Sus scrofa: one gene and its partner. The protein of the gene in region 1 interacts with the protein of each later gene in a pairwise test. Links are inferred from orthologs where the notes say so. Each region holds a gene or a part of one and is shown in the gene's direction. Other genes may lie near its edges. The genes, in order: TRIM39 and UBTD1.

Region 1 (3,809 bases):
GATCTCTGAGGTAGTAGTTGTCATGATATTATTGAGTTCTTTTTTTTTTCTTTTTTCTTTTTTATCTTTTTAGGGCCACACCCACAGCATATGTAAGTTCCCTCTAGGGGTCAAATTGGAGCTACAGCTGTCAGCCTGCACCACAACCACAGCAACATAGGATCTGAGCCTCATCTGACCTATACTACAGCCCAGAGCAATGCTGGCTTTCCAACCCACTGAGAGAGACCAAGGATCAAACCTGCATCCTCATGGATACTAGTCAGATTCATTTCTGCTGAGCTACAACAGGAACTCCCTATTATTGAGTTGTTATGTCTTGAATTTTTTTTACTAAAACATAAAAGTACAGTTTTTTTGGAAGTTAATTTAATAAATATATGTATTTTTTAGGGCCATATCCACAATATTTGGGAGTTCCCAAGCTAGGGGTTGAATCAGAGCTGCGGTTGCCAGCCTACACCACAGCCACAGCAACACCAGATCCTTAACCCACTGAGCAAGGCCAAGGATTGAACCCAAAAACTCATGGATGCTAGTGAGGTTTGTAATCTGCTGAGCTACAACGGGAACTCCTCATAAAATTTTTTTTAACCTTTTTTTTTTGGTCTTTTGTCTTTTTAGGGCTGCACCTGTGACACATGGAGGTTCCCAGGCTAGGGGTCTAATTGGAGCTGTTGCTGCCGGCCTACATCAGAGCCACGGCAATGCCATATCCGAACCGCGTCTCTGACCTACACCACAGCTCACAGCAATGCCAGATCCTTAACCCACTGAGCGAGGCCAGGGATCAAACCTGCAACCTCATGGTTCCTAGTCAGATTCATTTTTGCTTTGCTGTACCACAGTGGGAACTCCTCCTTTTTTTTTTTGTCTTTTCTAGGGCTGAACCCTCGGCATATGGAGGTTCCCAGGCTAGGGGCCCAATAGGAGCTGTAGCTGCTGGCCTCCGCCACAGCCACAGCCACGTCAGATTCAGGCCAAGTCTGTGACCAACACCACAGCTCACGGCAATGCCGGATCCTTAACCCAGAGATCGAACCTGCGTCCTCATGGATGCTAGTCGGATCCATTTCCACTGAGCCACGATGAGAACTCCAACATTGGTTTATTTTTTAACTTTCCAAGTGGTCTTCACTCTCAAGTCATCAGTAGGGGAGACAGTGGGGATGGAGCCATTCTTTACAGAAGGAAATTCCAGTGGAGAGAAACATGAGTGTCCTGTTAAGCTCTTTCCAGTGACACTGGAAGTCTGTGTGAATTTATGCACATGGTGGGTGGGAAAGGCACCTATGCCACCCTGGCCCTGTTAAACATAACACCCTCCCCCTGTCCTCAGAGGCTAGTGGAGAGTCGCCGACAGCAGATCCTAAAGGAATTTGAAGAGCTTCATCGGCGGCTGGATGAAGAGCAGCAGGTGTTGCTTTCACGACTGGAGGAGGAGGAACAGGACATTCTTCAGCGCCTCCGAGAAAACGCTGCTCACCTTGGAGATAAGCGCCGGGACCTGGCCCACTTGGCTGCGGAGGTGGAGGGCAAGTGCTTACAGTCGGGCTTCGAGATGCTTAAGGTTCGACCTTTGCCCCTGCATAGCCCCTCAGGCAGAGCGCAGCCTAGCTTTGCACAGGCCCTTCGGCAGGCCTGCAGTGCTCACTCCTCCGCTCTGCCTCTCTAAATTCCAGTTCTGTCCTCCAGACATACTCAAAGGATCTTTCTCTACAGAAAGGCTTCTCTGATTCCTCCCGTCCCCTTCTGATCATTTCTGTGCCCTTACGTCTTGCCAACAATTATGTGCTTCACCTGTACCAAAGAAAAAATTCACTCTTTTGAGAGGAGGGTAGTCTAGTCTGAATTAGTGAAAAAACTATGCATTAAAAATTGTGTAAATGCAGTAACCATTACTTTTAAGTCCTGGAACATGATCTACCTAGTACTCAGAATAGAAACAAAGTTTGAAGGACACTTGAAATAATGTATAAGTAATATATTGCTTTTAATATGTAAATAGTACCTCTAAAATGTTTGAAATAATCTGTTTTCTTAAGCAAATGAATGATGTTTGCAAGGCTGTAGGAAACATATTTCTTATCTTAGAGATCACATTGCCAGCATTTGAATAAGTGAGGCTTCGTTGTACATTTATCTGCATGTTATATATTGCTTGGTATTTATTCTCGTGTCCTTTCATGTATGTGTGTTCTGCCTTCCACATTAAACTGGGAAATCCTTGGGGGGCAGAGATTTGTCTTCTTTGTCTTCTGGACCCCAAGTATTCACAAATCAGGATTGGCGCACAGTTGTTTAATATTTATTAACCAATGCCAGACGAGGGATACAAACCACAATGGGAGAGTGTGATTCGTCCCTGTGCCAGCAGTCTGGAACTATCTGTACTGATCCTCAAGGAGACAGGTGTGTGGTTGGTACTTGGGGGACAGAGTAAAGAGCAGACACAATCCCTGTCCCTAGCATTGAGCTCCCAGTGTCCTTGAAGAGCAAAGACAAACACACAAGAGACTGTGTAGAAGTGATACCAGTTACCAAGCATCATGATGACTGAGAGTTGAAAGTGGGGGGTAGGTCGGGAGAGATGTGCTTGGGTCCCTCTGGAGTTCTTCCTCTTGCATTGTGACCCTTAGTTTGCCTCATGCCTATTTAATAGATCTAAAACGTTTGGGAGGAGGGAACCTTGTGCCTTTAGGACCCTTGACCACCGGGACCAATACTGCTTTCTTTTCTCCTTCCTCTAGGATGTCAAAAGTACCCTGGAAAAGTAAGTGATTCTTGTATCTCTTCGAGTGAGTTAGGTCTTGGCTTCAAGAGTAGGGCTGCAATGAGGAGTTGGGGGAGTATGGATGGGAATATCACGCAGCATCTGGGTAGGATATAGAAGAAGGTTTATTGTGTCCACGGAGCAGAGAGCACATCATCGGGAGTACTAGCCCCTTACCGTTTCCCTTTGACCATCAGGACTTCCTTGTTAAGGTAGATACCAAGATTCTACCTGGGCCTGTGGGTGAAAATGTGTCCAAACAAGATGGAAGGAGGAAAGGGCTTGGGGGAGGGGGGTGATTACCTATTTGCATGAAATATAACAATCCTTTCAAAAAGTTCTAAGACTCATTCACACAATAATGGTCTGTCCAAGGGACCACATGGCTTTCCATAGATGGGCAAAAGAAAGCAACAAGCAAATACTTGTCTTGAGGGAAGAGAAAGAAAGTGGGGGGATGGAGAATTTTAGTTTCTCCCTAGAGATGACAACATCTGAAAACTCACTAAGCTGGAGCTTCCCCTGACCCTGCCCTTTCTTCCCCTATCTCCCCATCCCTCCTAGATGTGAGAAGGTGAAGACCATGGAGGTGACTTCAGTGTCAATAGAGCTGGAAAAGAACTTCAGCAATTTCCCCCGACAGTACTTTGCCCTAAGGAAAATCCTTAAACAGCTAATTGGTGAGTTGTTCCCAAAAGGAAACTAGCAGAGGGAATCAGCAGAGAGAAGAAAGTCTTTAGGTCCTGCTTTCTCTGGGCTTCAGTTATCCCTTCCCTTCTGTCCCTTTTCATGCCCATATCCACACCCACCTGTACTGGGCTTTCAATCTCACTCTGAGTCACAACTCAAAGTGAGAAGCCTCGGACTTCCCTTCGTGGTGCAGCGGAAACAAATCTGACTGGGAACCATGAGGTTACGGGTTCGATCCCTGGCCTCGCTCAGTGGGTTAAGGATCCAGCGTTGCCGTGAGCTGTGGTGTAGGTTGCAGATGCAGCTCAGATCCTGCGTGGCTGTGGCTGTGGTGTAGGCTGGCAGC
Region 2 (4,345 bases), on another chromosome or scaffold:
CTGTGACCTACACCATAGCTCACGGCAACGCAGGATCCTTAACCCACTGAGCAAGGCCAGGGATCCAACCCGCAACCTCATAGTTCCTAGTCGGATTCGTTAACCACTGCGTAAGGACGGGAACTCCTTTTTTTTTTTTTTTTTGGCTAAGCAGGCAGCACGTGGAAGTTCCCCCGCCAGGGATCGAACCAGTGCCACACTCAAGCCATGGCAGCGACAACACCAGATCCTTAACCTCCTGAGCCACCAGGAACTCCCAAAGTATTATACTTCTGACAGGTTCACTTTATTCATTTCCCACATATTTTAAAAGCAAGTGTGTTCACTTTTCAAGAGAAATGTATCCTTTACTTCTCCCCAAACACGCGCAATTTCCAAAAATAAAGACAAAACTTATCTGTACTGACAAGATTATTTTGTATTCTATTACATAGACACAAGGTCCGAAGGCCTCCTAACATTCAATAACTTTTTAGATTTTTCTTTTTCTAAAAGAGTGAAGTCTCAGAATTTCAAGGAAATCTGTCATTTGCTCCGCTCAAATTTTAGATAAGCTGTCAGAACTAAGAGATCCCTAAACTGGTGAAAAGCAGGAAATTGGAGTTCTGGGAAAAATATAAAAACACACACCACATAAAAAAGGCACGAAGCAAATTAATCAAGAACTTGAACAAGAATGGGGGGAAGAGATACGCAGAACATCTCAAACTCCCCCTAGGCTGGTTTCTCTCCTCCTCTCTCCAATTAATTACAGCCAGTCAGAGATTGGGTCGCGCGGCCACTCCCAACATGCCACGCGACTGGAGCTGATGCTGCCGAAGATGCTTCTCGTCACATCAACTTCCTCGAAACAACGTGCTTTCGCGGAGTGAGCACCTGATTCTGAACTGGAGGACCTGCGTCCAAGTCCCAACTCCCCCAGGAAGCCTCTGGCCCTCTCTGGGCCTCAGTTTCCACACCTGCGAAATGGTAATGATTTTCCTAACCCAGGCCGGTGCACAGGGTGGCTATAAACCAAAACGAGGGTCATAAGGGCGCTTTAAGGAAGACTGCAAGCGACTCGCAATTTGTTATGGTTCTTAAGCACGCGGTGCTCACAACCAGCCCGGGACCAATCTCTCAAAGTCACCGCTCCCTTCCCGCCCGGCGCCCGTGCTGAGGCCGCTCCCTCCTGGAGGCCCCCAAGCGGAAGCCGCGCGGCGCCGTCTGCCGTACCTGCAGCCACTTGGTCTGCGGGGCCCTCCTGCTGACCCATGACGAAGTCTTGCACGAGGCCCCACAGGGCGCCCGTAGGCGCGACCGCCTCCAGAGCGGTGGCGGCGGCCATGACGCGAACTGGAGACGGTGGGAGGGGAAATGGGCGGTGGCACGGGATGGGCCTCTCAGCGCACGCGCCTCCTGAGCCAATCGCCTGGCGAAGGCTGAGGGGGCGGGGCGCTCCCTGGATCACGTGCCTGCCGGCTCCAGGCCAGGCAGTTCCAGGGTGGGATGGGACGGCCCCTCCCCAAGGGGCGGGGCCCGGAGTCGGGGCGGTGGCTCAGGGAGCGAAGGCGGCTGCTGGGCACGCAGCCGGGGGCCATTGAGGGCGAATAATTCCCGGCCCAGCTTCCCGGGAGACCCGCGGCGGGGCGGGCACCTGTCTGGGTGGGGCCGAGGGGCGGTACGCACCCTGGGGGGAACCAATGAGAAAACCAGGCCCGGCCCGAGGGGGCGGTGCCGTCGGTCACATGCGCACCTGGGGCGGGCGGCGGCGGCGGCGCGGGCACCGCGAGCCGGCGGCAGGGAGCAGGGCTGGGCTGGGGCGGGGTTAGGCAGGTGAGTGACAGGCTCCGGGGGGCCGGCCCCAGCTGGGAGCCCCGAGCGAGCCGGGAGTAACAGCGGCGGTGCCCGCCCCCTCTCTCCGCCCCTTCAGCGGAGCTGGTCTCCAGCCGGGCACCGTCGCGGGCCCCCCTGGCCCGGCCACCTGGGACTGTGTTGGGGAGTCGGCCACCTCCCTCTTTCTCCTTGCCCGCAAAGTTTGTGGCGAAGCCGGCGCTGGGGTAGAGCGCGCCGCAGGGGGGAGATCGGGAAGCGCCCGATGCCGGGCGGTCGGAGCCGTTGACCTGGGACGCCGCCGTCCGGGGCAGGACCGCGGAGCAGCGGACCATCCCGTCGCCTTCGGTGCATGGGGCCCGGCTGAAGAGCCAGCATGGGCAACTGTGTGGGGAGACAGCGCCGGGAGAGGCCGACCGCCCCGGGACACCCCCGCAAGCGAGCAGGTAACGACCGGGAAGGGAGCAGGGCCACCGGCGCCCAGCCAGTTGTCCGCCTTCTTGCGCGAGAACTGGGCTTCCTGAGCTACCTCCCACGGCTCCTGGCGCCTAGGTTTCCCTGATGGCTGCTTCCGAGGCAGACGGGGGTCCCCTTCCCCGGCCCCAGTGGCCGGGGGAGCCGACTTGTGGCAACTGCGAGCGCTGACCCGGCTGCGAGCCCAACTCGCTCCAACTGGGAAGCTCCGGGTGGGGGTGGGGGCGGGAGCAGGAAATGTTTGCAGACCGCAGCGGGGCCGGCGGAGGGGAGGAGGGCCCCAGGCCGGGGCGCCGCTGGCCTGGCAGCGGGGCCGGGGTCGGACGCCCGCCCGTCGGGGCACGGCGCGGGTGGCCAGTCGTCCCAGAACTCGAAGCGAGCGAGATGAGAACAGGCGCTCCTTCCAAAGACTGTGTCATTATCGGGCTGCAGATCGTGCCTGCCGGAATCCGACTTGCAAAAGCAGCGCAGGACTCTGGGAAAGAAATCTTTATTTTTCCCGCAGGGCTTTTTAGAGCCTCCTGGCCGTCTGGGAGTCTAGAAAAGGTGGGGTGCGGGGTGGGAATCGCTGTCGGGTTGTTGGGATCCTTCCCAGCCTTAGGAATGGGATCTGCTCTCTGGTGATCCTCGAGGGCCGGCAGCGCTTTCTCACTTTCTGGATACACCCCTATCCTGGCGCTTCGCCTGGGTAAGAGGTCTGGCGGTCGTTTCCCCGGGTCTTGTACTCACTTCACTTCCTTCTCTGAGGGTGTTGCAAGGAACTTCTGAGAATGATAAAATCGTAGACTTTAGAGCTGAAAGAGACCTTCGAAACTTGTCTAGAGTCCAGATAGACCTACCTTCTCTTGTCTGTTAAAAGCCCAGATCCAGAGAGGTTGAGCAACTTGTCGATAGCTGCACAGCTAATTCGTAGTACAGCTGGGATTAGAAGGCCATCTTCTATTCCACTCAATTGCCACATAGCCCTTTAAGAGGAGCCATAAGCAGAGTTATTAATGAAGTAGAAACTCTAGTTGAAGTTTCCTGTCTCCTTTGACACTGAAGGTGTGTGTTGCTTGAGTTTCGCAAACTGGGAAGGAAGATGAGGGGAAACGTGGGGGAAGCAGGGAAGGATGTCTGTGTGGTGGACAGGATGACTTATGCAAGAAGCAACGTGTTTTTATAGGGAGGACAACGAACAATTTAGCATTGAAGTCCTCTTGTCCCAAGGCAACCCTGGCCAATCTTCTGACAGGAAAGTTGATTCTCAAATCCAAGGGCTTTCTTCCTTTCATTCATTCATTCATTCATTCAACAAATACTTATTATTTATGTACTCAGCCCACGTAATTGATTTGTAGCTTTTTTTTTTTTAACTGTTGACAATCCTCTCCCACTTGAAGCCCCCCCCCCCCGACTTTTCCCTCCTTGACATTGGACTATCTTGGCTTTTTTCTCCGATCACTCCTGCCAGCCATCACTCCTAGTGTGGGCACACCCATAGTTCAGTTTGACATTCCATCTTTTTCGCATCATGCTCCCTCCCAGAGAAATCTTAGCCCCACAACTCTTTGTCTGTTGGGAAGGCCCCTATGCTGTATTTTCAACTGTTGCTTCCCCAACCCCAGACTCAGATATCTAGGTGCCCACTGGACACCAATGTAGTTAACCTCAGATTCAGCACTTCTAAAACCAGTTCTGCATCTTTCCCCCCAACCAGCTTCCCCTTACTCTTCTATTCTTCCCCCTACCTAAAGCTTTGTTTTGTTTTATTTTTTAGGGCCATACCCATGGCATATGGAAGTTCCCAGGATAGGGGTTGAATCAGAGCTATAGGCCTATGCTACAGCCACAGCAATGCCAGATCCAAGCTGCTTCTGCAACCTGTGCCAAAGCTTGCAAGCTTGCAGCAATGCTGGATCCTTAACCCACTGAGCGAGGCCAGGGATCGAACCCACATCCTCATGGATACTAGTCGGGTTCTTAACCCTCTCAACCACAACAGGAACTCCCAACTACCTAAAATTACACTTTGAAGAACTCTTTCTGCTAATTTTCTTTGCCTCCATGTCCTGGAAGA

What was found.
Region 2: the proteins of TRIM39 (region 1) and UBTD1 interact in binary tests that used the Homo sapiens proteins (3 or more experiments, as listed by UniProt). The two-hybrid records come from large-scale screens. The link is inferred for Sus scrofa from reciprocal best matches to the Homo sapiens genes TRIM39 and UBTD1.

What each region holds. Positions count from the first base shown.
Region 1 is NC_010449.5:23,056,464-23,060,272, forward strand, and holds part of TRIM39 (tripartite motif-containing protein 39), read left to right. Parts: intron 1-1,339; coding exon 1,340-1,570; intron 1,571-2,750; coding exon 2,751-2,773; intron 2,774-3,337; coding exon 3,338-3,453; intron 3,454-3,809.
Region 2 is NC_010456.5:108,885,214-108,889,558, forward strand, and holds the start of UBTD1 (ubiquitin domain-containing protein 1), read left to right. Parts: upstream 1-1,541; 5' UTR 1,542-2,188; coding exon 2,189-2,258; intron 2,259-4,345. Other genes in the region: MMS19 nucleotide excision repair protein homolog, read right to left, coding at 1,216-1,327. UniProt on the Homo sapiens protein: May be involved in the regulation of cellular senescence through a positive feedback loop with TP53. Is a TP53 downstream target gene that increases the stability of TP53 protein by promoting the ubiquitination and degradation of MDM2.